2 linked regions of the Arabidopsis thaliana genome follow. The protein of the gene in region 1 interacts with the protein of each later gene in a pairwise test. Each region holds a gene or a part of one and is shown on either strand. Other genes may lie near its edges. The genes, in order: AT3G21400 and AT3G60150.

Region 1 (15,554 bases):
TCGTAGCCCGAACGGCTAAAGACCCATGGCTCGTTGAACGTAATCCAGTTTTTCACTTTGTCCCCATACTCGTGGAACGTGAAGTTTGCATACTCCACAAAATCAGGCCTATATATTCACATTTTAAAGTAAGCAATTATACTTTGATATTACGTATAGTAGAAAAATTACTATTGTACGAAACAACTTAAAAACAATAATCAAATGTGAAGATATGACATGTACACTTACACAATACGTTCGCTTAAAAAGCCACCGTATTCATCTTCCAAATCGGCGGGAGTATCCCAATGAAAAACCGTTACTAATGGTGTTATGTCTGAAAAACAATAATTTAGTGAGAGTTAGTTTTTTGCAGTTACTATATGTTACTACGATAAATAAATAAAAATGTAGATATAATTGTGGATATATAGAGTTAGAGAGAGTCTATGACCATTTTTAAGGAGCTCATCAATAAGATCGTGGTAAAATTGAACTCCTTCTTTGCTTATTCCTTTCTCCATCCTCCCATCTGTTATATTATTCAGTAACCAGCTCTTGTTGGAAACCAATAGTAATTCTAAAATTCTCGTGGCCTATTTTTATTTGTTGAGGAACTCATGAATGGTTTAACTTACGAGGAAATATTCTTGGCCACGAAATAGAAAGTCTAAAACCATCAGTGTTCAGCTTTTTCATCAACTGGATATCCTCCTGTTGATTTAGATAGGCATACGAAACATTAGTTATAAAATTAAGTAATTAACATGACTTCGTAGAGCCCATGAATCTAACGATTCACTATGAAAATTCTAATCGATAAAACTTAATAAAATAAATAACTATAAAAACTGAACCTTATGATGCACTTTATCCTAAGTGTTATATAGTTACCAACTTTTACAAGATTAACTTAGTTCTTTTTTTATTTAACTATTCATCTTGTGTTGTTCCAAATTATTCTTTATACAGTTTTGATAAAATGTTTTCCCGAAATTAATTATCTGGACTACTTCAATCATCTTTTAGTTGTTCGAACTACACGTGAGAAAATGATACTATCAATGATCAAACGTTTAAAAAGAGAATCTAGAAGCTAATACCTTGTAGCGATGGTAGAAATCGACGGCCTCGTCAGCATTGTGATTCTTAACTCTATCTGCAGTTTAAATATAGTACAAAATGTTATTTATTATCACCAGATATCTGGTTCGCTACACAGTTACTTACTATAATACTGGTCGTTAACAACTCTTTATAATACCTCTTGGAATCAAATTCATAATAACACACGAGTGATGAATGCATGTTTTAAAAAAACCGACAACTAATAAGTGGACATATATATGCTTCGTGGTCGAAATAAATAGAAAAGAAAAGAGACAGACGTGGAAATTTCTTGGTGTAGATGTCCCACAGGCTTGGACCTCTGCAACCTTCATTTACTGCACCTTCCACCTATTTTAACCATATAAATACATAAATCATTTTCATTGTTCCATTTCCCAACATATTCTTAGCTTCACCCAATGTTTTGTAAGTGTTTTAATATCACCATTTCTATGGATATTTTATCTATTTTGTATACATATACATGTACCTGAAAGGCTGCGGTTGCGGTACCAAACATAAAGCCCTCCGGAAAACTTGCACGGCTAAGAGTTTCGGTCTTCGGGCAAACAGGTCCTTCTTCAGCCCTTGTCGGAGAGCCGACAAGACTTATTAGTAAAAGTAACCCCAAGAGAGGAATCTTCATTGTTGATTTTTTTTTATAAGCTCACGAGTGTGTTTTTGGTCAAAAAGTTCAAAACAAAGTGGAAGACTATGTTGATTTGAAAGGAGAAATATCGTTATATATTTATAGATATATACATGCATATATGCATGTACGTGACACCGATCAGGTGATGAATTTCAAAGCCCAAATTGTATTTGGAGGCCGCCAAGTGTATTTACACTATTACATGCAGATTGATCAGTTCTTGAAGGCCAAGTGTCTTTTTGTCACTCTCACTATTGCATGCACATTGTCAATTTTCTGTTATAGTCTCCTCGTTTTAAGGCGTGATATTCGCATGTGTTTGTAATATTCGCATGTGTTACACATTATGTGTACGTCAAATAAATCTCACATCTGGATGTTAAGATTGAGTGTACGATTCTGTAGAAGCACAAGTGGATATTGAGACCAAGTGTTTGATATTTGAAGGGTCATAAGCGGATTAGAATTTTAATAAGTGGAACAATTATCATATAGAGTAACGTGTGATCTTTAGATCCACAAGTTTGGGTTTGAGTCAGTCGCTATCTAAATAAGTCTCCATGTCTATATAAAAACGCACTTGCATGCATCAGTCATCACCACACCAACTCTCTCATCTCTTTTTGTCAACAAAAAAAAAACACAGAAGTACGTACGTAGCCTCTCTTTCTTAATGGTTCACTTCATTATTTGCATTTATTATAGCGTTACAAGAAGTTACAACTACAAAAGGAAAACTTAATTCTCTTCACCCTTTTGTATATATTATTTTTCAGTTATCTTACAAGTATAATGAAAATGTTATAAATTTATCTGAAAAATGAAAAATGCATAGCCGTTTTTGTTTTTTTTAATGAAAAGTTTAACAACCGGTAAGATATGATCAGATACAATGGCGGCCGCAACGATGTCTTGGGACGACGGGAAGCACATGAAGGTGAAGAGGGTGCAGATTACATATGAAGATGTTATCAACTCCATAGAGGCTGAATACGACGGAGACACTCATAACCCTCACCATCACGGCACTCCTGGCAAGAAATCTGACGGCGTAAGGGTTTAACAATGTTGTAAAACCTAACTTTTCACATAAAAGATATTTACATGAGTAGCAAAAAAAATAATCTGACGGCGTTAGCTAGTACTCTTCACGACCTTCTCCATATATACTACATCTTTCAATTTATGGATGTTGCAATGGGTTTAGTTTGGTCGGTCTCGGTCTTGTGGTCTTGACTCTTGACGGGTTGCCTTAGTTTGATTAACTGACACTTAATTACTAAATGAAAAGAAAAAATGATGGGTCCTGCTAGGTCTAATAATAGCATATAAAAATGAATTAGGGCTAGGAAAATTTTGGTCTACTATATTTTTGTTTATAATGATTTATTTATTGTATACTTTGATCGAACTAATGTAATATATTTGTTTTTGTAGGTGAGCTTGAGCCCAGACGAGTACATAACAGATGTTACTGGCTACTACAAAACTACAGGGGCTGAAGATGCTATAGCAGCATTGGCTTTTAAGACCAACAAAACTGAATATGGTCCTTACGGAAACAAAACAAGGAACCAATTCTCCATTCATGCTCCTAAAGATAATCAGATAGCTGGTTTCCAAGGAATTAGCAGCAATGTTCTCAACTCTATTGACGTCCACTTTGCTCCCTTACCTTCCTCTTCGTCGTCATCGTCCAGTTTGAGTCAAGCCAACAAAGTTGATGCTCAAGGTGGGAAAGGAGGAACATCATGGGACGATGGTGCTCATGATCATGTAAGACGAGTGTACATTGGACAAGGTGATTCTGGTGTCACTTATGTCAAGTTCGAGTACGAGAAGGACGATAAGAAGGAATCACGCGAACACGGAAAGAAGACCCTTCTAGGAGCAGAAGTGGTGAGTATGTTTAGTTCCTTTCCTATATTATAACTAGAAAGTTCAAATCCGTTGTACTTTAGTTATATTATGACCGATCTTGCCAAAGAATTAACTTATTTGAAATCTCTGTATAGTTTGAGGTTGATCCAGACGACTACATCACATCAGTGGAAGTGCAATCTGACAGGATATTTGGGCAAGACACGGAAGTTATCACCTCCTTAATCTTCAAAACATCCAAAGGGAAATTCTCACCGCCCTTTGGACTCGAGGGTTCACAGAAATATGAACTCAAGGACAAGAATGGTGGTAAACTCGTTGGGTTCCATGGGCGAGTAGGCGGCGAACTTCTTAATGCTCTGGGAGCTTATTTCGCTCCTTCATCCGGTCGTGGTACCCCTTCAGCCACTCAGCCACCTGGATCAGCTCAACCAACTGGATCAGCTGGTGCTAAGAAACTAGAAGCAAAAGGTGGTAACGTGGGAAATCCATGGGACGATGGTCCTCATGAAGGTGTGAGGAAAGTGTATATAGGTCAGGGTGATTCTGGTGTATCATACGTCAAGTTTGTCTACGACAAGGACTCTAAGGAGGTCCCCGGAAATGATCATGGGAAAAGAACACTACTTGCACCTGAAGAGGTCAAATATGTATACACATAGAAGAACCAGCATATAACCTCATTTCTAAATTATTGTTTCATATTAGATTTTTTTTTTGTTTTTTTTTTTTGCAGTTCCTTCTTGAATATCCAAACGAATATATAACATCGGTGGAGCTTAACTATGACAAAATATTTGGAACTGAAGGTGAAATCATAACGATGCTTAGGTTCACAACGAACAAGCGAACCTCTCCACCTTTTGGACTTGAAGGTGCCAAAAGCGTCCTACTCAAAGAAGACGGCCACAAGATAGTTGGCTTCCATGGCAAAGCGGGTGCTGACATAATTCACCAAGTTGGAGTCCATGTCAAGCCTATTTCCAAGTGAAGTTTGTAATATTTTCTCAAGTCCCGGTCTAATAAAAATGAGCTATCAAAAAATCTCTGTTCTAGAAATTGTCATTGTACTTGTGTAAATGGTAATAAGGTCTTTGACAATATGCTACTTGTGTGTTTGTTTGTGTTTCAATGTCTCCTTATACTGTACTGGATTGGAGTCTGTAACACTGTTTCAACGGTTTCTAAGACGTATATATAAAATCTTGGTTACGTTGATTCATATAATCATATATCTAATTTGCAAAGTGGACAGTTGTGGGTTGTGGCAAACGTGGTTGTGGCGGTCGACGAATCATCCATTGGAGAAGACTAGTGGCATAACACATCACTAATTCTCTCTTTCTTATCCATGGTTATTACTTTCGCTCTACTTTTAAAAACTATATGATCCAAAAGATCATATATGATTTGTTACCCTGCAATTTAATTTGAAAACCTTTTATCTAAAAAAGAGATTTATTTCTTATAATATGATTCTGTTTTGGCATGAAATGGATCAAAATTAAAATAACGCATACAAATTTCATTTTCTTATTATTGAAAATTAATGGATAAGAATCTTCATAAATTTTAAATAATTTCATTTTATAATATTTATAAAAAAATATTCTAATGGTTTGATGCATAATGGATTAAAATATTCCATTTATCCTATTTTATAAAATTGGTTAAAATCATATATTAAGAAATAAGAAATATTTTTCATTTATGAATATTCAGTCAATAAAAGAAAAAGAATACTGCCCAATTCATCATAAACTATTAAATTAACATAAATTATGTATAAAACTAGAGAAAACCTTATGAAATAGAATAAAAATAAAAGCCTAAAACATCTTATATATTATAAAAGCCTTAAGTATAAAGCTAAAGAGAAACTGCAAATTTGAGGTCAATACTTTTACAACCTTTTTGTGTAGAACCACAAATTTTAAAGTTTTTGTTTTTATAGTGTTATTGCTTTCTTATTAGACCTTTTTTTTTCTTTGTTACGGATTGTTCTTCTTCTTCAGAGCACACAAGCTCTGAGATCCCATCAATAAATGGCGGTAACAGAGTCCTCTGTTTATTTACTCTAACAAGTCCTTTAAGGTTTTAATAACCCAGTTTCATGGGGGTTACTTCCTTGTATCTAGCCCTGTACGTTCCTCTTCTTTCATTTACTTATCTAATCACGACGAACACTTTCCCCAATTTCCCAAAAATCTCATCTTTTACAATCGATTTCTCTACATTGTAATTCTTCCACATAGTTTCTCTGGATAGTTTCATTAAAGTTTGAGTTTTTATTGTTTTTCAATTAGTTTATCTGTGACATTTATTCTTCTTGCGAGCAACATCGACTGATTCTTACCTGTATGTTTCGATTTCACATAGACACACGAGAGAACGCTAATTTCTAGTCCTCTGTTTTCGTGGATCAGTCTGTTTTTTCTATGCAATTGTGTGTTCTTGATGTTGTTGACACAATGATTTCAGGTTATAGCAAGGAGCTCGTGATCATGAGTGGTACAGAGTTAGATGAGCCTGGAAAGTTAAAACGTGCTGTCATTGATGCTTCTGCTGGTGGTGTTGCTGGTGCGATTTCACGTATGGTTACCTCTCCCCTTGATGTTATCAAGATTAGATTTCAGGTAAGTAAAGAGTCCTAGTTCATTGGTTTTTGTGGATTTGGATTATGCACATATGTGTTTGTGACTCAAGAAAATTTCTTGGCATGTTAAACATCTTTGCTTTGAGAAAGTAAGAGCAAAAGGAATGGTTATTGAAGTGAAAGTATTGAAATTTTCAGGTTCAGTTGGAGCCTACAGCTACATGGGCTCTGAAAGATTCTCAGCTGAAACCGAAGTACAATGGTTTGTTTCGAACAACGAAGGATATCTTTAGAGAGGAAGGTTTATCGGTAAGTCGTTGCCTAGATAATGTTCTTTTGAAGGTGTTAACTGTTGTATTTTGTTATGCTGAGTCATTTACCAATGTTGTCATCGATGCAAAGTGTTCACACCAATTCTTTTCTTGGCAAATGATTTTTCATCATCTCTAATGGTAAGCTTAGTTTTGTTGAGTTGGAATGTGAAGTGTTATAAATATCTTGATTACGATGCAGCCTCGTTGATTTAGACTTGTCTGATGTTTGAGAATCTCCACGGTTATGATACATGATATTCAACTGCAGATTTTGAGCACTCATAGATAGCCTTTTTCTCTCTACAATTTTGTGGACACTGATAACTCAATGAATGACCTTATTCTAGACTGCTTTAGGAATTGATTTCTTATGGCTAATAGACACTTTCTGAATTTTAAATCAAGTTGCTTATGGCAGGGTTTCTGGCGTGGAAATGTTCCAGCTTTACTTATGGTTGTGCCTTATACATCCATACAATTTGCAGTCTTACATAAGGTGAAGTCTTTTGCCGCTGGTTCATCAAAGGCCGGTACATCACTAACTTTGAATAAATCTGTTAGTGACATGTATTATATATCCAAGGTGTGATCTGTACACTTTAAAACGCTTAGGTTCATGTAAATTTAACTCCTTTAAATGAGCTGTTTATGGCGACATGACTTGGCTTTATATAATTCATCTACATATCAAACCCCTTGAAAATTACACAAACCACAAAAGAGAGAACATTCCACAATGTTTCAGAAAGTTAAAAGATAGATTTTAGCATGTTGTTTTTGACAGGAATTCTGAATTCTGATCTTCTGCAGAAAATCATGCTCAACTGAGCCCTTATCTTTCTTACATCAGTGGGGCACTAGCAGGGTGTGCAGCAACAGTTGGATCGTATCCGTTTGACCTATTGCGGACTGTATTGGCGTCCCAGGGTGAGCCAAAGGTACAATATTTCTTCAGTAAAAGAATGTGATGACATAGTTATGGGTTCTCTGTAACGTTTACTCCTGTAAAATCAACAATATAGTTTGAGAAAGAAAGGAAAAGGATAAAGTTTTGAGAATGCGTTGACATAAATAAAGTCATTTTTTGAGAAAGCGTGAAACCCATCTATGGAGTTCTCTGATATTCATAGAAATTTTTATTATTTCACTGATGTCTTAGTTAACCATGAATTTATTATCAGCTATTGACGATTGATATATCGAAATTTTTGGGTTAGGTGTATCCAAATATGAGGTCAGCATTTCTGAGTATAGTGCAAACTCGTGGAATCAAAGGGTTGTATGCAGGATTGTCCCCTACTCTGATCGAGATCATTCCTTATGCTGGTCTGCAGTTTGGCACCTATGACACATTTAAACGCTGGAGTATGGTAAGCTATAGCTTCATGAATGTTCTCAATTTTTTTTTCCTTTGGAATATATAACATAGATACACACCATTGCCTCCACCACAACTTTGTGTTCTAAGCAGCAGATTATCTTGAAGCGGTATCTGGAGTTCTCATCTCACTGTTGGTATACATTTTGCGCTAGGTATATAATAAGCGATACCGATCTTCTTCATCAAGCTCAACGAATCCAAGTGATAGTCTTTCTAGCTTTCAGCTTTTCCTTTGCGGTTTAGCTTCGGGCACTGTTTCTAAACTAGTCTGTCATCCGCTTGATGTTGTCAAGAAAAGATTCCAGGTTAGTTTTTTGCCATCTTGTGTTTTAGCTATGTGTTCTTAATGTTTTACCACCGAAGTCCATGTTACCAGAAGCCTAAAGTGATTTTACAAAGCATTTTAGATCAAACATCAAGGTTTGATACAAGAATGTTTGTCGCTGCAGGTCGAAGGTCTGCAACGTCACCCAAAATATGGAGCCCGAGTAGAGCTGAATGCTTACAAGAACATGTTTGACGGTTTAGGGCAGATATTAAGATCTGAAGGTTGGCACGGGCTTTATAAAGGCATTGTTCCATCAACCATTAAAGCTGCACCTGCTGGTGCTGTAACATTTGTGGCCTATGAACTTGCATCCGATTGGTTTGAGGCAAATTTGACCTGAACTTGTAAAATTCTTCAATTCTATTTGTAAATCTTATTCTATTTTGCTTTTGAGTAATAAGTAATATAAGATTCCATCCTTCTCTGAACAGAGACCAATAATGCAAACTCTTTCTTACTAGGAACGGTAGATTTTCACTAAATCTATTCATTCATATCAGCAAAGTGTGTTACTGCTGCAGTTTTCAAAAAGAATCATGGCTTGGTTGAAAAAAGCTTTGTATTCTTAGCTACACAGTTTTACATTATTGCTCAGCGAAAACTAAAATTTAAAGTCAATGTCATCTTTGGTTCTGTGTTACTCATCGAGGCACAAAACTTTCTAAAAACTGGCAAGGACAAAAGAAACCAACCAGTTCTGATTACTTCTGAATATGAACGAACAGAGCCTTTACTTTTTTATTCATATTGTTTCTTCTGCTTATCAGTAATCTCTTGAGGTAAAGACAGGAACTGAGTGATCTTCTGAACCTGAGAGACATCAATCCGGTATTTTTCAGCTATCTCGTTAACACCCATTGGACCATGGTGATCCTGAGATTTTCCCTGAAAGAGAAGCATGATGTGTCGCACTTGTGCTACGTTCAACGTTCCTTGAGGCACCGGGTTTTCCTCATATCTTGTTGATTCAGGAGTTGTGTTCCGGAGCTTTGGGAGTGGCCTTTTCGATGTCTCAACTACTGATGCCTATATAAATCACAAGTCTTATCAGTTTAGTCAGATAGATATATGTCTTCATGGATTTATACACAGGAAAGACCAAAACCCGCAACTATATGGCCCTTTTGCATTATCTACATTTCTACATTTCATCTCTTATCCTAAACTTAATTTACACCATCAATCACTGTCAGCTTTAAGATTACCAGCAGAAGAATGAGACAAAATCTGTTCACTTCTTAGTTATGCTAACTATTTCATTGGTGTGACACAAAACGCTATCAAAGGTTTTCTAATCTGGTTACGCTACATTAAACAGTTACTCTAAAATGTGAACTTGTTCAGTCCAATATAAAATTCTAGATTGTTGCCAGAGACTCTGGGGCAAAAACCTTAACATATATTCCAGAGCAGAATTAGAAAGCAACCCAGCATTGTTCATGAAACCTTTTGAACCCATCTTATCTCTAATACCTTAAAATCAACCAGTAACGAAACCTTTTGAACCCATCTTATCTCTAATACCTTAAAATCAACCAGTAACGAAACCTTTACATGACTAATGACAAAAACTCCACAAGATGTGACTAAGAGGCAAGACAAAGGGTTCATATACCATTCTCAACAGCTACATAACTAAGATAAGCACCAACTATCAATGCAGGTAATCAGGTGGATCTATATTAAACATCCAAAAGTCACATACTTGTCCTGATGAGAGGACGAGAATCGAATCAATGCATCAAATCAAACAAGAGATAAACAAAGCTTAAGGAAACAACACTACAAACCTCTCCCATCTCAGCTTTGCCTCCAGGTTTAGCTTTTATTCTCCCAACCATTTGGTTCAACATTGTATCATACTTGGGGTCTCGTTCCTCTAAAACATTATCCTCACTGGTTCTTCGACCTTTATCTAACAACAGATACATACCCAAATTCAGATCAAAAACGAACAAAAATTTGGAAACGGTTAAGAAGCAGCCCATCAATCTAAATGTTTATAACGGTGAAAACTTTCGAATACCCAAATGCGAGAGATTTAGGGTTTATACCAGAAACTCCATCAACGGCGGCAGTAGACGGAGACGATTTCACGGCACTGAGCTCCTCCGTAGGAAGCGATCTCCGATCAATGGAGACTCTTGATGGTGATGATCTCTCAACTTCTTTGATTTTCCCAACAGCTCGACGCAATTGCTGACCCATCACCGCAAAAACACACACTCTCTTTCAGAAACAGAAAGAGTCCAATGGATTACGAAAAGAATCGAAATTTGTAGGTATTTTTCTGCTGCATCCGATGATTACAATGGGGGAGAATTCGAATTGGAATCAAAGGGTAGTGGAAGTAGCTTCATCAGCTGTGTTCTTCTTCATGTATTGAATGGGGCAGAGAGAAGAAGAACGTGTTCGTGTTGAAAGAGTTACACGCGCTCGCTTTGAGAGCTTGAAATAAGTGAATAATATTAAGTCAGTACTACGTCGTTTTGAATTACCAGATAGTACTATGTTGTTAACACATGGACCAAAAATCAAAACATTTCTTGAACTTTCGAACCGGAGGATCATAACATAGATTACATGACCTTTCACATGACTAATTAACAAAACGTTGAAAAAACTTTAAACTTTTATTCTGGTGTATTATCCTCCGATGATGGAACCGGAACAAGACTTGGAAGATATGTATAGCCGGAGATAAAAGGCCAACTAAAACCTAGTTGGTGTTGTTCTATCTCATCTTGGCTTTTGATCTCATCCTCTCCAATAACGTAGATGTTGACGGCTACGTTTCTTTTATCTGCCAATACTTCCTCACAACATACTACGATCCTATTATTCTTATCAATGAAATGCACCGGATAAGAAAGATTCTCAAAAGCCAGCAATACCGGGAGATCAGGTCTTGTCACACTAAATAACTTGGTCCATAAGATACTCACTCCGTTCTTAACCTTGTTAGTAACCCATACATCGATCTTTGATGTTTCTTTGCTTTGGTGTAACAAAGAAAGATTGTCTCCTTTGAAAGCTGATAAAGCTACAACATTATGTACATCATACCTAACGGGAAGAGAGCACAAGGGCTCAAATGTCTCTGTAGAGAAGTTAAAGCTTTGGATGAAGATGTCGGGTTTACGGTTCCATTTAGCAATCCAATACATGTTTCCTTTGAGTGACAAACCTTTACAACGCAAAACCACATGCCAATCCAAAGAAACTTTAAAAGTTTTCCAAGAATTAGACTTTAATTCATAAATATCAACCTCTGGTTTGTAAGAGCCCGTATTTGCATACTCGTTTTTGGTAAAAACACCGTTTACGAACCTCAAGATTTTGTAGCTATCCCGAGATAAACCGTCATATCCAATGCCGTAGCAACTACAACCCCGGAAAGAAGGATTCAGGAGAAAGATCCATCTAACCTGGTTCAAACATGGGTTCCAAACTGCCATTGAACCTGTTTCGAAAATGCATAACAATAACCCGTCGCAGGGAACCATAGTATAAATCTCACCTTTCACTTGAAACTTGTTAGGAAGTGAAAAAGATGAGCAAGCTCCAACTACCGGGTTGATGATCTTAACCATTTGATTGGTCCTTATGATATGTTCCCGAACAAGAGCTAAGTGCTTGTAAATGAATCTCTTGTCGTTGAAAAGAGCGAGCCATCGTTTGCACGTCAACTTGAGTCGTAAAAGAGATTTAGTTGGAACCCTACAAAGTATTTCTTCAAATAACTCAAAAGGCAACAATGAACATTCTTTGGAATCCATGGCCATGGAGAGGTATGGCTTCTGGATCTTTGTGAATAGATTTATGCATGAAGCTATATATAATTTAACATGTTGGAACCACGCCATCTTATAAAGATTGTTTTAAAAGAGAATCTGATTCAAATATTTGGAAATAAAGATGGTGTGGCGTGGATCAACATTTGTCAACTTAATTATCTAATTTTACAAAACTAAAATAGATGGATAAAGCAATTAAAGTAAGTAAAATAAAGAAAAAATCTGAAATATATATTTTCCCTCAAAAGTTCCAGTCAATTTCCTATTGTTCCCTATGAGATTTTATTCCATATAAACTAATATTAGCATTTGGTGAACTATAAATATGATTTGTTAAGATATTCTTAAATCAAAACTTTTTAAAAACTATATTATTATATAGTTATAGCAAAAGATTGCGTGGACCAGCATTCCAACTTGTCTAGTTAAGAAAACTTAAATATATATATATATATACCAATTAAAGCAAAATGAATTAGATTTTGTAATATATATATACCAATTAAAGCAAAATGAATTAGATTTTGTAATATATATATATTCCCATAAAAGCTCCGGTCAAATTTCCTAGCGTTCAAATAAATTTTATTTTAATCTTTCATTTAACATAGTTATTTTGTGTTGCCCACAATAAGATGCCCCAAAAAGCCCAAATGAAACTAGTCAATAAGATACACCAAAAGGAAGAAGCCCAACACTAAGGCCATGATTGAAACAACTAAAACTTGAATGAGTTAGCTTCCAATTTAAGGAGATGATGCGAATATCGTTGAAGAAGAGATATTACTACTTGTAGTTCATTTCCACTGATCGCAAGCCAAAAAAGTAGTTAGGTTCTGGTGGTGAGGAAAAGTGTAAAAATGATAAATAAGATTGAGAGGTTCTGCTTAGTTTAATTAAAGTAGCATTTCCAAAATACTTTTTTTTTGCTCGAGTCAGTAGTAATAGTCTTTTGTGTTTTCTTCATTAGACATAATCATGATACCAAACCAAACACATTCCTCTTTCTTCGGAATAACTATTATTTTCTATTTTATTTTTGTTTTTTTCTCCTCCCACAGATTGTAACCTTTATCGTCAAGTTGTAATTAAAAAGATTCCTCTAAACAATTCGTCAAAAAGCTGAAAAGATTCCTCTAAAAAAAATTTCACTACACTTCTAGATTGTCTTTAGACTAGTACAATCTCCTGTGTTGACCTAAATGCACAATAGATTGTTAATTTAAAATGAAGAAATGCGAAAACATTTTTAATCTAAGTTTGTGGTTGGTGAGTCGAATGTTATGAATAAAACTCATGACTTTTATGTTAAATACGTATGAAAATTACTATGAAGAAAAGTAACAAGAAAAATAGTGAAAAGAAAGAAAAAGAGAAGAAGGCACAATGTGGGAAGGAAGTGCGACGAGAAGATCACTAGATTTGGTCGGCACATCACTTTCTCTCTTAAACTCATAAACACAAAGCATGGCCCCTACCTTAACGTACCCACTTTCTTCTTTTCAACCCCACAATTTCTAATATCCTCAAGCTCACCCTCTCCACATTTAGTGTGCTCTTTTTCTTTTTCTTGTTCTTTTACAAATAAATAAATAAATTATTCTAATTTATTTTGTACTTTTGTTCCCCATTGGATTGCAAGTCTACTTAGATCTTCAATCTTCGTGGTCGAGAGGTTGAGAGAGAGAGAGAGACGTACAAGTTTCAAGTATGAGTAAAGACTTCCAAATTAAGACATTGGTTTGCAAGTTGAAATTCAGTCACCACTACTTCATCATATACTTTTTGTAACCCTTCTCTTTCAATACACGTATATACTTGATCAGTCTGTTCTCATCAAAATATATACATTGATTACAAAAATAATTTCAATTGATGTGTTAATTTTTAGATATATTGGCCTTAATCGAACATGAAAAATGGACACTTTGAATACAGCCAAAGTTGTGTGTTGGTAATTGTAAGGAAACATCGATAGTGATTAACACTACCCTAAGACCGTTGAAAGAAATCAAAAGAATGAACCCTCTTTGAAAAATTTAGGAGACACTTTAGAGAACTTATGAATAGTTTAAAAAAAAAAAAACTCTATTATTCATTTGGTTCTACTTGTTCAACTTGGTTAAAAATGGAGGAAAGATGAACTATGTATAGAATCCAAAACTACAAAATATCTAACAATATTTATCCTAATCTAGAAAACATTCAACCATAATATCTAGATTTTTCTCTGCAAATATATCTAGATTTTTCGACATGTATATCAAGATAATCAAAGAATAGGATTCTTAAAACACTTAAAGAGGTGATGATATTTTATGATGTTTCTAGAGAAGCTCTAGAATTTGAATTTGGTCCAATAAAGGATAATCGGATAATGAACCAATAATTAAGTTTGACTCAAAAATTAATTCAGTTTCAGTAACACTATTTGTTGTGGTCTTGTGGACACAAACAATGAGATCTATACAACTATGGGTGATATGAATCCCAAGTAACAAATAAAAAGGGCAATGAACTGATAGTGATTTGAGTTGAAAATTCATAAAAGTTAATATGGTGATAGAAGTTAAACATACATTGGCCTTTACCGACTAACTCGAACTGAAATCAATCTAACAAAAAATAGGTTCGATTGATTCGATTGGAATTTTGTCAAGAATAAGAACCATTATCTTGAATTTGTGTGTTAGCAATGCTACATCAAGAGTAAGATAGAAATTAGAGACTATGGATTCGAGTTAGATGTCAATAAACCTTAACAATATGGATTTTTTTCTCCGATTAATCTAACTAATTGGCACGTTAGGTGAATTTCAACTATAATTGGTCTCCGTTTGCTTTTGGGAAAGAGAGAAAAAAAAAAAAAAAAAAAAGGCAAACTTTAGGAAAACTGAATTTTCAAGAAACTTGACTTTTAATTTGTAAGCATTGTCTCGTTTCGTATACCGACCGTCAATAAAGTGTAACTTAACGAATCTCTTTTTGCTGGATTTTCCTAAAACACTGATCCTATGACACTCTTACATATTATTTTATCTTTTAAATGTAATAAAAGCAAGAAAACATACATAATATTAATATATGTTCATACTATGGTTCATACAGGAAAATTCGTATCATAACATTTTTTCATCATTTATTTGTTCCATAGAGAGGCTAAAGTAGGGATAAAACGTCACCTCTTATTCACTTTTCTTTTATTTCGTTTACCAATAAAAATAAATAATATATGAAAGTAACATGGTAGTATAATTGGAGTGAATATGTAAGAACATTAATTGGAATACAAATTTACTACACCAAAAACTATTTTTAACCAAATATGTCACCAAATTCAATAGAATTTACACTAATTTTTATTGGGAACACATGTTCCCATCATGGCCTCTTTCCTCCTCCACTGGTTATTACTGATAAAATAATAACATTAGACACTTAACAACGGTTGATTCTCTGGTATTAATGAAAAAAGAATTTCGAAAGTGCACAAAATGGACCCCAAACTCCACA
Region 2 (15,174 bases), about 15 Mb from region 1:
TCTATGATTCGTTTCACTAATTCAGGCTGGATCGGATTGGCTTTTGATATATCCCAAGGGTATTCGTGATCTCCTACTACATGCAAAATTCAGATACAATGATCCCGTCTTGTACATTACAGAGAATGGTAAATCATAGCATTCAATAGACTTTTTATTACTTATATTTCTGAATTTAAAAACTAGTTCAGACTAATCATTTTATATCGCGTCTCTTTCTTCAAATCATGTAGGAGTGGATGAAGCAAATATTGGCAAAATATTTCTTAACGACGATTTGAGAATTGATTACTATGCTCATCACCTCAAGATGGTTAGCGATGCTATCTCGTAAGTCCTCCTTTACAATCTTTTATATTGAAATTTCTTTCTTTCGTAAACCAAAGCATTCGAAGCCAAAATTAGATTGGCCATGTCTATAATGTATGTATGTATGTATTTGAGACGCCAACGGAGGCTTAAAAGAAGGTTTCTGAAAAGTGAAAACCATATATTACATAAAATGCAGGATCGGGGTGAATGTGAAGGGATATTTCGCGTGGTCATTGATGGATAATTTCGAGTGGTCGGAAGGATACACGGTCCGGTTCGGGCTAGTGTTTGTGGACTTTGAAGATGGACGTAAGAGGTATCTGAAGAAATCAGCTAAGTGGTTTAGGAGATTGTTGAAGGGAGCGCATGGTGGGACGAATGAGCAGGTGGCTGTTATTTAATAAACCACGAGTCATTGGTCAATTTAGTCTACTGTTTCTTTTGCTCTATGTACAGAAAGAAAATAAACTTTCCAAAATAAGAGGTGGCTTTGTTTGGACTTTGGATGTTACTATATATATTGGTAATTCTTGGCGTTTGTTAGTTTCCAAACCAAACATTAATAAATAAATAAATAAAAGAGTTGAGGTTAGATTTAGTCTGTAAATGTTCGAAATATTACGTAAGAGTTTGACTGTAACAAAATATTATAGTCTATATGTATATACTAGTTACGATTAAAACATAACTATTAAAAAATTGCAAAAGTTTGTACTTGGTAATATGATTACTTATACGGTTATACCATTAAACATTTCTCTTGAAACCGCTTCAAAACAGTGCCATATAAACTTAAGCAGCACCTATTTTAGTATATCTTAAAATTAATTCTTAAAAACATAATTCGTGTTGGTAAATATTAATAACTGAACAAGTTTCTGGATATTCTAAAAAGTATAAGCCATTATGAACAGTTTTGGGCTTGGGCCATGTTAGAAAAGCCACTCAAAAATATCATATACTAATTCGTCAGCTAAAACAAGAAATTTCATACGCAGAAATTTGTGTTGAAAATACCATAGTTCAAATGTTTAATAAAAATATGTAAAATTAGTTTGATTGTTTTGACTTTTTCGCGTCTAATTAGTTTGATTGATTTGATTGCTTCTGTTCCCAGTACATGCAATATAGTGATATATTAGAGGTAAAACATCCGTGTTGACAACAGATTAAAAAAAAAAAAGTAAGACAGTGCATAGTTCAATTTCTAGTAGTTGTTCTCATCTTGTTTTTGGCAACTGGACGTGTCATAAAATTTGTTTCTTAAACATGAATTGTATTTTCGTAGGGAAATTAATTCAACGTTTAGTGAAAAGAATCAAAATCAATCCAGAACTAGTATAATACATTTTTCTAAAACTATTATGATTTTTTTATAAAAAACATTTTTTTAATAGCATAAAGTTTTTGGCCAAAGCCCATAATCCTTTTAGATCTGAAATCATAGCATGTAATATTAGTTTTGTCCCAAACGTTAAACCGGTGACCTTTAAACTTTGCTTAAGATCTTTTACCAATTGAGCTAATAATACTCGATTAAAAAGATATTTTTTGACTTTCTCACGAAGGATATTTTTCCTTTTCATATAAATGATAAGTTCTTTTGTATTAATCTTTTTGTTTCCTGCATTATTTTTTTCGTTTTCGTTGTTAGACATTGTTTCGTTCTTGAAAATGATAGTAGGTAACAAATGAAAAAAATAAAAAATACACCTTTTCTCCTAATTTCTTATATGTTTTATTAAATTTTATTATTAAATCATAAATATAGAAATGTATAATTTACTAAAAGGGAGGGACAAGACAAAAAAAAGAAGAAGAAGAATATATAAGCCCATCTCCTTGTGTTGGAAAATTAGTTGCTCCTTTACAATATACAATTTCTTAATAGGAAAACATGTCACTGCCAGTTGATTGTTCTCATCTCTTTTTTTCCTTAGTGGAATCCGATAAGGACAATTGCTCATATCTGTTTTTTTTTTTTTAATTGAAGATGTACATTTTCTCTTCTCTGATTATCTTCCATACAAAATCTGCACTCAGTAAAAAGAAATTATGTATTGCTGTTTTAATACCACTAGATGATCACCCGTACTACGCCGCAGTTTTTTTGGATTATTTTATATTATTTAATTTAAATTTAATTTTTATTTGTCTAATCATTCACTCATACAATAAGCAATTACTTTAGTATTAAAAATATTTTTTTCTAACAATATTCTCAACAATGCATCATACATATAATTCATAAACAACATTTATCTTAAATTAATTTAACAGAGGGTAGTATTGGATTCTAGAAACCTAAGAATATGATGATAAAGCTCCTTACGTATTCTTCAGCGTCAGTGATTTATTCTATAAATATCATAAGAGAATATAAATATCAATTTAAGAGAATAACTTACTCAAATCATTAAGTAATCTACGACTATTATACATTCATACTTTGAATTTGGATTACAAAAAAAAATCTTCGAGTATGAGAAAACTATTAAAATAGTTTTATTGAAAAATCATATAAAATAAAAATAAATTTAGTAATAGTATAATTAAATATGTAAAATAAAATTAAATAAGAAATATATCATTAACCTATAAATTAGAAGTTGAAGAGCTTACATTAATTATTTAATAGACACATGTCAAATGCTAAAGTGATGATGTGTCAATCATATGAAGAGAGTTGGCCAACTTTCATATATATGATTCTTAGTTTCGTACCAATTAGTTTCTCAATTCAGTGCATGTGTAGTCAAATGTCCAAAAGATTGTTTCTAAGCAATTAAAATCTTATCAAAACTTCATTGCCCAAAATATTACGAAAGCTTGTTTCTGTGTATGATATACCCGGTAAAATTAAAATGATCATTATACAGAACAAATCAGCATGATTTTCGGATAAAGATGACACACATTTGAAATCGTAGCCGTACTACGCGAAATACATGCACTCTTCGTTATGTTAACACTTTAACAGTGAACGTAGCCATAATGTTGACCACATTCAACAGTCAACACAAACATTACTTTACACACAAATATATGATTATATATACATATGTACATGTAAGTGAATGTGAGCAATAATGACGGGAATATTCAGAGAAGACGATGGTGAATGTTAGCAGTGATCACGGGCACATTCAAAACTGACTGTGGACAAAAAAAGCTCCTGGCCTTAAATATGATTGTGCCAAAAATAGTACAAAACTAAGAACCCAAAATGGAATTCGAGACCTATATAATAATATATATGTATATAGTCTTTCCTTGGAAAGAAATCTTATGTTATTAAGAAAAATACTATAAGTTATCTCTCTATCTAGATATGATATATATGTCCAAACATTTCCACGTAGATGACGTATATTACCGAGGATAATCCTCTATATAAGGAAGAGAAGCTCGAGTAATAAATCTCATCACTTTGAAATCTCAAAAGACACCAAGCAAAAAAACAAAGACAGACAAAAAAAAAAGAGAGAGAGAGAGAGAGAAAAATGGCTAAGGGATCGTGGTTCTTCATTATCCTTTTTATCATCTCAATGTTAGAAAATATGATCAATTCTCTAGAATTAGATCGGCATAGTTTTCCTGATGATTTCATCTTTGGGACAGCTGCCTCGGCGTTTCAGGTAATTTCTTTGATTTGTAATATGTAAAATAGCAAAATAGCTTTGTGATTCTACAATTTTTATTAGTCACAGAGTTAAAATCATTATTTAAATTCAATTATTCTGTTGTTTTCTTTTGATTATGTTACTTTGAATGTTGAAACAATCATGAAACTCTGCAATATCACTCTTTTTTTTGGGATCAAATTCACAATTAAATTAAAAAAATAATTTGCTTAATAATCTTATCTTCATTATGCATTCATATTTTTTTTTTCTAAAATACAATTTTACCATTTTGCAGTATTATGGTCATATTATATAAGTCATAGTAGAATAAAATAACTAGTTCAGAAATTAACTGTTGAAAAGTTATTTAATTTACGTTTAAAAATGTTGCAAAAGAATTTTCATGTGGATCCTCTTGTCTAATATCCACTTCTTTTTTTGCTTGCGGGTTCTCACTTAGGTGTTTTTAAACAGTTTTAATTACAAAACATGCTCTCTTTTTTTTTCTTGAAAACAAAAAAAGTGAGCCGTAAACTTAAACACATCTGGGCAGCTGGACTTCAAAGTGGAAAAGGCTGCTCGACTTTCAATTTAATTAACTAGGAGAAAATATCAAATACTATATTATTTGCTGACGTCTACAGATGCTAACGTTCCTTTTTTCATTTCCCCCTCAAATGTTCTCTTCTTGTCATATAAAGTTGCTTGCATCATCATAATAAAACTGTAATGTTTTGATTTGGGGACAAAAAGAATATCTGCTTTACAAATTAGCTCTGCGATCAAAATATGTTTTTAAAAAGTATATATTTATGCAGTACGAAGGTGCAACAAGTGAAGGTGGCAAGTCTCCAACTATATGGGATCACTTCAGCCTCACGTATCCAGGTCTGTCCGATTACAAAAATCAACGGACCGATTTTATTGACACTTCTATACCAACAAAACCATATTTGTGAGATGTGACTAAAAACTGATGGTTATTTTATTAATTCTTTGACTGCAGAAAGGACCAAAATGCATAATGCAGATGTAGCAATTGATTTTTATCATCGTTACAAGGTACTATCCAATATTTATAATCAAGCTATTTACTTAAATCATACATGTTTATAATTAATCTTATTATCAAAAGAAAAAAAAAAGCAAAAAATCAAATTTTCTTTGTAAATGAGTTATATCAAAAATCAGGTTATCTCTAAATTTTGTAAATAAAACATCAAATTTAAAACAACTTTCGAAATAAGTCAATTTACTTTCTTGAAAAGTTGGTGCACTGAACCTGGAGTCTTGGACTTATATATAGATGTCATTTTTGTTTTGGTTATCAAGATTTTTATTTATTTATCTTTTGATTAACGAATCCTTTTTAATCCGACAAAAATAAAACAGGATGACATAAAATTGATGAAGGAGCTAAACATGGACGCTTTCCGATTTTCAATCTCGTGGTCAAGATTAATACCCAGTAAGTTTTTTTACTCTCTCTCTCTTTTTGTTGATTTTTTTTTTTTTATTAACACTTATTTATACGAATTCGTTATGTGGTGAATTTTTAATTACTATAGGTGGAAAGCTAAAGGATGGAGTAAACAAAGAAGGTGTACAATTCTACAAGGATCTCATAGACGAACTTCTTGCTAATGGTAAGATTATTAATTCATTAGTTAAGTTAAAGTTCTCTAATTAAATTAAAGGTGCGGTTATAACTCAAATAATCAAAATAAAATCATACTAATTACATGCAGACATACAACCTTCGATGACGCTCTATCATTGGGACCACCCACAATCTTTGGAGGACGAATATGGTGGCTTTCTAAGCCCTAAAATCGTGTAAGCCAAATTAACACATATATAATATTTCAAACGCAAAAAAGTTTTGTTATTGTATACATTAATATACTGTTGTTAATTTATTTTTTACTTTTTTTGAAAACAGAGAAGATTTTCGAGATTTTGCAAGAATTTGTTTTGAAGAGTTTGGAGATAAAGTTAAGATGTGGACAACAATCAACGAACCTTATATAATGACTGTTGCGGGTTATGATCAAGGTAACAAGGCGGCTGGACGATGCTCAAAATGGGTAAACGAAAAGTGTCAGGCTGGAGATTCGAGTACCGAGCCTTACATTGTTTCACATCACACTCTTCTTGCCCATGCCGCTGCAGTGGAAGAATTTCGAAAATGTGAAAAAACTTCGCATGATGGCCAAATTGGGATAGTACTATCACCAAGATGGTTCGAGCCTTATCATTCCGATTCAACTGACGATAAAGAAGCAGCTGAACGAGCTCTTGCCTTTGAAATTGGATGGTAAGTTATATAAGCAAAAAAATTTAACGATTTTGCTTCTCATCATATTTATTTGTAATCTTGATATTCATTCTATATGTGTATAGGCATCTTGATCCAGTCATTCACGGAGATTATCCAGAGATTGTAAAAAAGTACGCGGGAAATAAATTACCTTCATTTACTGTTGAACAATCAAAGATGTTACAAAATTCATCAGATTTCGTTGGAATTAATTACTACACGGCTCGCTTCGCTGCTCATCTTCCTCACATAGACCCTGAAAAACCTCGTTTCAAAACTGACCACCATGTGGAATGGAAACGTAAGTAATGCTAATTAATTACTAAAGATTGATCCATACGCATATATATAAATTAAGCTTACATGGTAAAACTAAACAAGATTTATAAATTGTTTTGGAACAGTGACTAATCACAGTGGTCACATCATCGGACCTGGGGTACGTATTTACGTCTTTTTTTCATAACTATCAATTTCAAAAGCTACATGTAATCATTCTAAGATATTTTAAATTTTGTATTATATATCCTCAGGAAGAAAGGGGCTTCTTATTTTCACACCCGGAAGGCTTACGAAAAGTTCTTAACTATATTAAAGAGAGATACAATAACATGCCAGTCTACATCAAAGAAAATGGTCAGAAACTCTTTCCTTTTCTTTTTTTTGCTAAAGCAGAAAGTTTTTTTTTGTTAACTAGAAATTCAGAAAACTTTTTAGTACGTAGTTATTTAACTAAAGATTTTTTTATTTTTTTATTTTTTAACTCTACCACACATTAATAATATCCTAGCAGTGAATTGAAACTGAAGTTTGATTTAAATATATTTCCCTAACCAGTTCAACAAACTGATTTAAAAAAAAAAAAAAATGGTGTGACTATTAATAATTTACGTTGATTACTGAATTACAGGAATTAATGACAACGACGACGGTACAAAACCAAGAGAAGAAATTGTGAAGGACACATTTAGGATTGAATACCATAAGACACATTTCGAAGAACTTCACAAAGCTATAGTGTTAGTTCTTGATCTGTTTCTGGTTTAGTCTCTGATCTTTCTGACAATATTTAATCAAATTCGGTCGAGTTTTTTTTAACTAATAAATTTATGATATGTTTATAGGGAAGATGGGTGTGACGTAAGAGGATATTACGCATGGTCATTGATGGACAATTTTGAATGGGAGCATGGATACACTGCAAGATTTGGTCTATACTATGTTGATTTTGTCAATGGTCTCAAACGTTATCCAAAAGATTCGGTCAAATGGTTTAAGCGGTTCCTTAAGAAATCGGTCGTCGGAGAGAGTAACAAAGAGGAGGTAGAGGAGATGTCACGCGCGGAAGGGAATAAGACTTTTAAGGGTTTCGAAGAATCGGCGGGTTTCTTTGCATCTTTCATGGCAATGAACCAATCGAGGAGAGATGAGGAGAATAATCGTTGCTCCTTTGATTTTCCTCATACTCATTTTGGTGTTTTGCAAGGCATAGAGAACCCATCTTCATTTTATTGATTTCAAATCCCTTATGTTTTTAAATTCCTTATGGTTGGACATGTAGTTAATTAGAATTTAGCTCATGTTAATATATGAACATTTTCATGGTAATATTTTCTTCTTGGAATCTAATGGGTGGCATACTGGCATGATGGGTTCTGGCTTTGTGTGACAATATACATATATTATTTTAAAGCTGTTAATTAATCCGACGCTTCAAATGAGTTCAACAGCCAATTAAAAAATTTCATAATATAAACAATATTATATATCGTTAATCAACATATATATGATTTTTTTTTTTTAAACTAAGTTTATATAAATGTTTATTCGCGGCAAGGCGATGTATATTATAAACTATTCTTAAACTGTTATCTCATGGTTATTTGTTATTTCTTACAACAATATTTTACTTCTTTAACTGTTTTTTTTCTTTTTCTACAGTTTATAATAATATTGGATGAGGATCACCTTCTTTGACATCGTTAACAAATTGTTGATCGCACCACAATCTCTTTCATCACGTCACCAAAAATATGCTGGATCTTTATCTGACAAGTGTCAAATTGTGGCTTTCTTAAACATTTTAGCAGCCAAAAACGACACAATTACATACAGTACCCAGTCAGAGATCAAAACTTGTGCTAGCTTTCTTCTTCGTCAGCAACACTTATCGCTGGCATAAAACATTGGAGCAAAGTCAAAAACGTAACAACCGGTCCGATGTAAAATAAAACTACTATAGTTACACCAGAAAATATCCGAAGCTTATATATAGTTTTCAGGAGATTTTTGTTATCTTTGGTGAAAATAGAGTCAAACTCGGTGTCGCTCCATTTCTCGAAGCAGACTGGTCCCTGAGTCGTGGTGAAGTGTCTCTCGTTCTAAGATGTGGACTCCAGTTTTGTTTTTCTTCTTTTCACTGTAGACCTAGATTGAAGAAAATTAAAAAAAACTCATAACGTTTGGCTTTTGCGTTTTTGTTATTGAAAGATGAATATATTCATTTATATTTTTTATCCCGTAAGATTGCCTTCTGATTTGACGTCATTAATATGAAAAATCTAAACCAAAACAAACCGAATAGTTAAAAATCGATTTAAAATTATGAAATGGTTTTGCATTAGTCAAATTAAACGGTTTTACATTCCTTAAAATTTAGTATCAAACCAATCTACTGTATACATTCGGTTTTAAATTGGTAAACAGAAAATAAATAAAAAACTCTTAACCGAAACGTAAACGGAATAATCAATCTGTTTAGTAAGTAGTGTATCTGACTTACCAAAAAAAGAAAGAAGTAAGTAGTGTATCGGAATGGTTGCAATTAAATAGTGCAAACCGATTTGGATCATTGGTTTCTGGTTAGAAACCGAAACCAATAAACCGCTTTGGTTCAAGAGTCTTCCCTTGGGAACAGTTTAGACTTGAGAGCGCGGAGAAGTTGGAGACGGTGAAGATGGCAGTGAGACAAAAAGCAATGGCGACGTTGCCGAAACTGATTCAAAGCATGAGAAACGAAGTTACGAAGCAGCCCAGTCTTGTCTTACCATCTCTCAGAAGAGCTTTCTCTCTCTACGATCAGATCAATCTCATCGATAACGTTCCTGAGGATCAGCTCCGATTTCAGGAGTATTCATCTCTCTCAGTCATGTTCCTAATTTGACTATGTAGCAAGGGAATTTGGATTTTCGGGTATGAAATGAATCAATTAATGGTGCTTTTTGCAGGTTTGATGAGACGAGTTTCACTGTGAATGGGGTTAAATACGAAGGAAGCTTGCTCTGTGTTGGGAATTTGCTAATGTCATGGAGCCCTCGTTACTTCTCCGACATCACAACGGATAGGTACCAGTACCACCTTCTCCCTTCTCTTCAGCTTACTTATACAGGACTAGAGCTAGAGTTAAGAGATTGCGTAAAGTTATAATCTTTTCATTGTTCATGACCCTCTCTAATGAATGTTTAGTTAAGTCCTTTTCAGCGAAAGTTGAAGTCTGTCTAGTGTGGCCTCTCTTGTACGTACTAGTATCTGTTTGCTGTGTTTGATCTAACTTTGTAATATCTATCTACTCTTTCTACTTTGAAGTTAATGTGTCATTGCTAAACACTTTACATGTCTAATTCATGGATGCAGCTTGTCAATCTTCCAGACGGTTCGACCAATTCCAGGTACTATACATTTTAGCATTTTGTAAGTTGATTTCTTCCACATTCCTTATACAATAGTCTTTGTTCCAGGATCGTTGGAAACTGTATGATACGTTTGCGTACGCCATATTTTTAGTGGCTAAAAAGTAAAAACCTTTTGCACATATTGAAGTGTATCATCAGTGGTTTTTGACTCTCCTTTTTCTGTTTTTTTCTTTTCAAAACAATCTCTAGAGCTCTTGATTGTCGGGTGTGGAAGATACAACCACCCACTGAATCCCCAAGTCCGTCAGTTCGTAAAGTCAATCGGCATGAAGCTAGAAACTGTTGATTCTGTATGTCCTTTGTTCTATTCAAGTATTTGTTCTGTTGGTTTGGAGTATTTTTCTGTGCTTATTGATTAACGCTCTGATCTATCCAGAGAAATGCTGCATCAACTTACAACATACTCAATGAGGAAGGCAGGATCGTGGCTGCTGCATTGCTTCCTTATGGAGTTACATCGTAAGAAACTCAACACCTCTGGAATACTGTAGAACAAACTTCGAACAGCTTGACTCGATCTTTATAGTTGAAACACCAACATGGTCTTCTTGTCTACTGTAAATGATATATTTCACTCTATTTGTAAAACTTTTGCAAAAAAATCGAAATTTACAGGATTACCACCTTGTTACGTAGCTTTAATTTGATTGAGCTTTATCTGAAAAAATAGAAGATATAGATTCCTGCTTTATTCCATTGGTTACATGGATAGTTCTCCAAGAACACACTGAAAACTCAGTATAGAACCTAAAACACAAGTACTGATTAAAATGTTGAACTGAATTTTCTTCGATGCGCCATGCTTCTAACCATGGTGCTCTCTCCATTTCTATGTTCAACTTATGTAGTACTAAATAACTAGTTAGACTTTCAACTTAAGCTTAACTGTGGAATTCATATTTCGTTTTCTCTGCAAAAGATCATCCATCTTTTAGTGGTGTTTAGCTGAGAAGATCATTCGAGCCGGCAAAGTGATTAGATCTCAGCGAATACTCTTTTATGAGTTTGGAGAAGAAAGAATCTTCTCTCTGTAGCAGTTTGGCAGGTGAATCAAACTCTGCGATTCGTCCTGCTCATAGAAAAGTGACTTAGACCTCATAATTATGTGTGTGAATGTATATGAAAACACATGTATATTGTTCTTACCATCACTCAGAACCAGAACAAGATCACTCTCTATCACTGTGTGGATTCTGTGTGCAATAGTCACCACTGTCCGATCTTTAAACTCTTGATTGATGATCTTTTGTATTACACCATCAGTTGCAGAATCAACAGAAGCAGTGGCTTCATCAAGCACCAGAATGTTGCTTTTCTTCAACAACACCCTCCCAAGACAAACTAACTGTCTCTGCCCTACGCTCCAGTTTTCTCCATTTTCAACCACTGTTACATACATTCAAGAATCTTAGTTTTCATTGTCCAAAAAACATTAACTTAAAAACGTTTCCTGATAATGATTTCAGAAACCTCACCTGTAGCATCCAGCCTCTCATCCTTTGCACGAATAACATCTCCCAATTGGCATTTATCAATGGCCTAAGTATCACATTGTATTAGATAGAGTATTTGTCAAAAGTAAATCAAACAAGAACTACAGAGAAAATTTTGCAGGTTTCTTACTTCCCATATTTCGTGATCAGTGTACTGAGCTAGAGGGTCTAGATTCAATCTGATTGTTCCATCAAATAGTGCAGGATCTTGAGGAATAATCCCAAGCCTTGATCTCAGGTCATGTAGACCTATCTTGGTTATATCCACATTATCAATAACTATGGTTCCTTGACTTGGCTCTACAATCCTAAACAATGCCTGAATTAAAGTTGATTTGCCGCTTCCTGTTCTTCCTACTACTCCAATCTTTTTTCCTCCTGGAAACTCACAAGTGATGTTCTTCAAGACAGCTGGGAAATGTTCTGCATAACGGACCTGGAACAAAGACATCTCAGGATTGAGAATCTTGATTACAACTTGTTTCTGAATGTATTGACATCTACTATGTTATTTACCTGTAGGTCTCTGAAGACGATTGATCCTACATTTGGCCAGTTATCAAGAGGTCTGTGACCATCAATTACTAGAGGTGCTTCACTGGGGATTTTGGAGTACTGAAGAATTCTTTCTACAGAAATCATCTTGTTTTCTGCATTGCATATATTCCATATCACTGTGGCTTGTAGAACATTCAGACTTAAGCCATATGTGACCCCAAGACCAGCAATACCTGTAAGGAAAAGTGAAAATGAAGTTTAATTTCTGATCCCATTAGACAATGTATTTTATGGTTTATGATGTATGAGACTTACTTGGATTGATGACACCTTCAGGGAGAGTCACAAGTAACACCAAAGAAAAAGCAAAGACGAAATGAGACAGCAAATTCAACCTGAAGGAAAGCCACTCCATTGCTGATGCAACATGGAACCATGGCCTTGAATGGCTATCTATTAGAACAAGGTTTGAGCTAATGAAGCGATCTCGTTGATCAAAAGCACGTATTGTTGTTGCACCAGCAAGCGATTCAGCGAAATGGTGGAGAATTGGAGCTCTTTCTACTCCTGACATGCGTGACAGTTCTCTTGCTGTTGGTGTGTAATATCTCTAAAGACAACACGAGTAAACAAAAAAGTAAGCAAGATTTGTTGTATCATTGTCAAGAAATTGGATTTGTTTTCTCTCTTGCCTGGTAAAACACGCAGGCTACTGCTACTGGAATGAAGATGACACAAACTTGCCAAGCAACTTGCGACATGACGAAGATGGTTCCAACAATCTGAATGATCGAAAAAGCACACCAACCTAGTTTGACTGCCATTTCCAAATCCAGGACACTTTGATCTGTGGATGCCTATTACAAAACATGAAAAAACCAAAGGTATTTTCAGTCTTGATTATAAAAAACAAAACCATGTTTTTTTGTTGGATTGATTCTGGTACTTCACCCTGTTCAAGATTCTTCCTGTTGGAGTTGAATCGAAAAATGACATTGGAGCTCTGAAAATGCTGCAGAGCATCCTTGAGAAGAACGTCTCTGCTGTTGAAAGTCCACCTATGGCGACTAGAATAGTCCGTGCTAAAACACAAAGTGAACTTCCTGCAGCAAGAAGTGCATAAACAAGTAAAATCCGACCCATTCCTAACTTTGGTATGGATTCAGCAGTTGGAGGAGCAGTCCATGCCATCCAGTAATTGCTAGCAATCTGTAGCATTTGGAAGCAAGACTGAGCCAATATTATGAATGGCACAAGCAATCCGCCTTTCACCGTTGTTAAATATGCCAAGTAAACTTCTTTGCCAATTACTCCTTTCTCTGTTTCTTCATCTTGCACTAGCTTTGCTTCTTTCTTTTTATTCTCTGTTGAAATGTTATGCTCTGAGTCACAATGTGTCTGGAGACTCTCTGCAATTGATGCTGTGTCATCTTTTGATCCCTCTTTGAAGTTTCTGCTTGACTTTTCAATTGATAGAATTGAGTCCAGCGCTTCGTTATGAGCTCCTACAAGAACTTCAAAACCTATGTTTTGCTTTAGAAGCTCTTCAAACTTGCCTGCTTGCATCACTCTTCCGTTTTGCATCACCTAGTATACAAAGTACACACACTAATGTTAATGGAAAAACTAACAGCCTCTTTTGCATTTGCTTATTATCAACGGCTGTTTCTCTTACCAGGATTAGATCTGCTGCTGGAAGAAACTCAACTTGATGTGTGACGTAAAGTACAGTTTTGTCTTTCAGTATCCCCATTAAGCAATCCTGCAAAACAAGTAAAAACAAAACATAGTCAAGTGTGGAGTTTAAAGAGAGAAAGGATCAAACGAACAAATTGTCATGAACATTATTATACTTCAAAGAGTTCTCTTCCTGTATGAGCATCAACGGCGCTAAAAGGATCATCAAGTAGATATATATCAGCATTCTGATAAACCGCTCGAGCAATCTGTATCCTTTGCTTCTGACCTCCACTCATGTTTATCCCTCTCTCTCCAATCTCTGTCAAGTCTCCATTCGAGAAAAGCTCAAAGTCCTTTATCAAAGCACATGCTTTAACAGTTCTCTCATACTTCTCACTTTCATACATACTTCCAAACAAAATGTTATCTCTTATAGTCCCGCTTAGTATCCATGGTGATTGTGGAACATAAGCTTGTTTACCACTGACTCTGACTGTTCCCTTCAGCTTCTGAATCTCCCCTAGGATTGAAGAGAGTAAGCTTGATTTTCCTGATCCTACAGCTCCACAAACCGCCACTTTCATTCCGCTTTTTACTTTCAGTTCGATGTCATCAAGAGTCGGTCTGCTTGACTCAGGTTCCCAACTAAATGCTCCATTTTCTATTTCAACACTTAATTCTGTATGATCCTTTGAGCAATACTCAACTGCATCTTTCTGAGTCTCACTTTGTTGAAGGTAAGAAGCTATTCTATCTGCAGAAACCTTGCTCTGAACAAGTGCTGAGAGGAGATCAGGTAAACCGAAAATCGGACTTTGTAACATTTGAAACGTTGCAAGAGCAGATAAGACTGCTCCAGCTGTTAGCTTCACTCCCATTAACATACAAGTAACAAAAGTCACCACAGAGATCAATGAAGGAGCTCCCCAAAGGATAAAAGTTGTGAAAGCTTGTAACCTCAAAGACTTCCATAAACAATCATACTCTTTCTTTCTTAATGTTTTAACCTTGTTGAGAAACTGGTTATCCCATGCTTGAAGCTTCAGAATCTTCATGTTTTTAAGAATCTCTGAAGTTGCTTTCATTCTATCATCTTTGGCATTCATGATATCTGATTGGTAGTTTCTCTGAAGCCTTGTCAGGGGGTAGTTGCAAGCCATCACCATTAAAGTTGTGACCAATGCAGCTAAAGCTCCAAGTCCCAGATGTTTTTGCAAGATATAAATCGCCGAGAAAATCTGTATTGGTAACATCCATATGTTGTTTACATACCAAATGAAGTCAGTGATTCTCTGAACATCTACACTCATGTAGTTGATGATCTCTCCGCTCGTGTGGCTTTGCCGAGATTGACTTGATAAAACTAAACCTTTCTGGTAGATATGTGATATCAAAGCTGCTCGAAGACGTAGTCCTAGCTGACGAGCTCCAAAGATCCATTGTCTTTGAGTAACTGTCTCGACGATTTTCGCAGTTAGAAACCCGAGTGCAAGAAGGTAACCATGGTTTAAGCTCTGGGATTGTTTCTCACTTAGAAACTCTACAAAGTCATT

What was found.
Region 2: the proteins of AT3G21400 (region 1) and AT3G60150 interact in a two-hybrid assay, tested with the Arabidopsis thaliana proteins (one large-scale study listed by BioGRID).

The regions. Positions count from the first base shown.
Region 1 is NC_003074.8:7,525,842-7,541,395, forward strand, and holds AT3G21400 (dynein beta chain, ciliary protein), read right to left. Parts: upstream 10,683-15,554; 5' UTR 10,453-10,682; coding exon 10,299-10,452; coding exon of another isoform or gene 10,241-10,298; intron 10,160-10,240; coding exon 10,035-10,159; intron 9,271-10,034; coding exon 8,983-9,270; 3' UTR 8,739-8,982; downstream 1-8,738. Other genes in the region: BGLU19 (beta glucosidase 19), read right to left, coding at 1-108, 232-319, 437-514, 621-696, 1,086-1,141, 1,371-1,440, 1,583-1,738; AT3G21371 (uncharacterized protein), read left to right, coding at 1,863-2,069; AT3G21380 (Mannose-binding lectin superfamily protein), read left to right, coding at 2,637-2,795, 3,182-3,643, 3,760-4,266, 4,362-4,616; AT3G21390 (Mitochondrial substrate carrier family protein), read left to right, coding at 6,064-6,261, 6,420-6,530, 6,954-7,065, 7,346-7,473, 7,753-7,905, 8,069-8,221, 8,366-8,584; AT3G21405 (uncharacterized protein), read left to right, coding at 10,241-10,447; AT3G21410 (F-box and associated interaction domains-containing protein), read right to left, coding at 10,878-12,110.
Region 2 is NC_003074.8:22,212,938-22,228,111, forward strand, and holds AT3G60150 (NADH dehydrogenase ubiquinone 1 alpha subcomplex assembly factor-like protein (DUF498/DUF598)), read left to right. Parts: upstream 1-9,034; 5' UTR 9,035-9,214; coding exon 9,215-9,387; intron 9,388-9,485; coding exon 9,486-9,602; coding exon of another isoform or gene 9,603-9,684; exon of another isoform or gene 9,685-9,891; coding exon 9,892-9,926; exon of another isoform or gene 9,927-10,138; intron 10,139-10,139; coding exon 10,140-10,240; intron 10,241-10,326; coding exon 10,327-10,413; 3' UTR 10,414-10,575; downstream 10,576-15,174. Other genes in the region: BGLU16 (beta glucosidase 16), read left to right, coding at 26-128, 234-330, 509-713; DIN2 (Glycosyl hydrolase superfamily protein), read left to right, coding at 3,816-3,950, 4,757-4,826, 4,945-5,000, 5,331-5,406, 5,507-5,584, 5,687-5,774, 5,881-6,255, 6,342-6,559 and 4 more; ABCC9 (multidrug resistance-associated protein 9), read right to left, coding at 10,892-11,019, 11,097-11,336, 11,426-11,489, 11,574-11,879, 11,960-12,174, 12,257-12,551, 12,634-12,798, 12,893-13,528 and 2 more.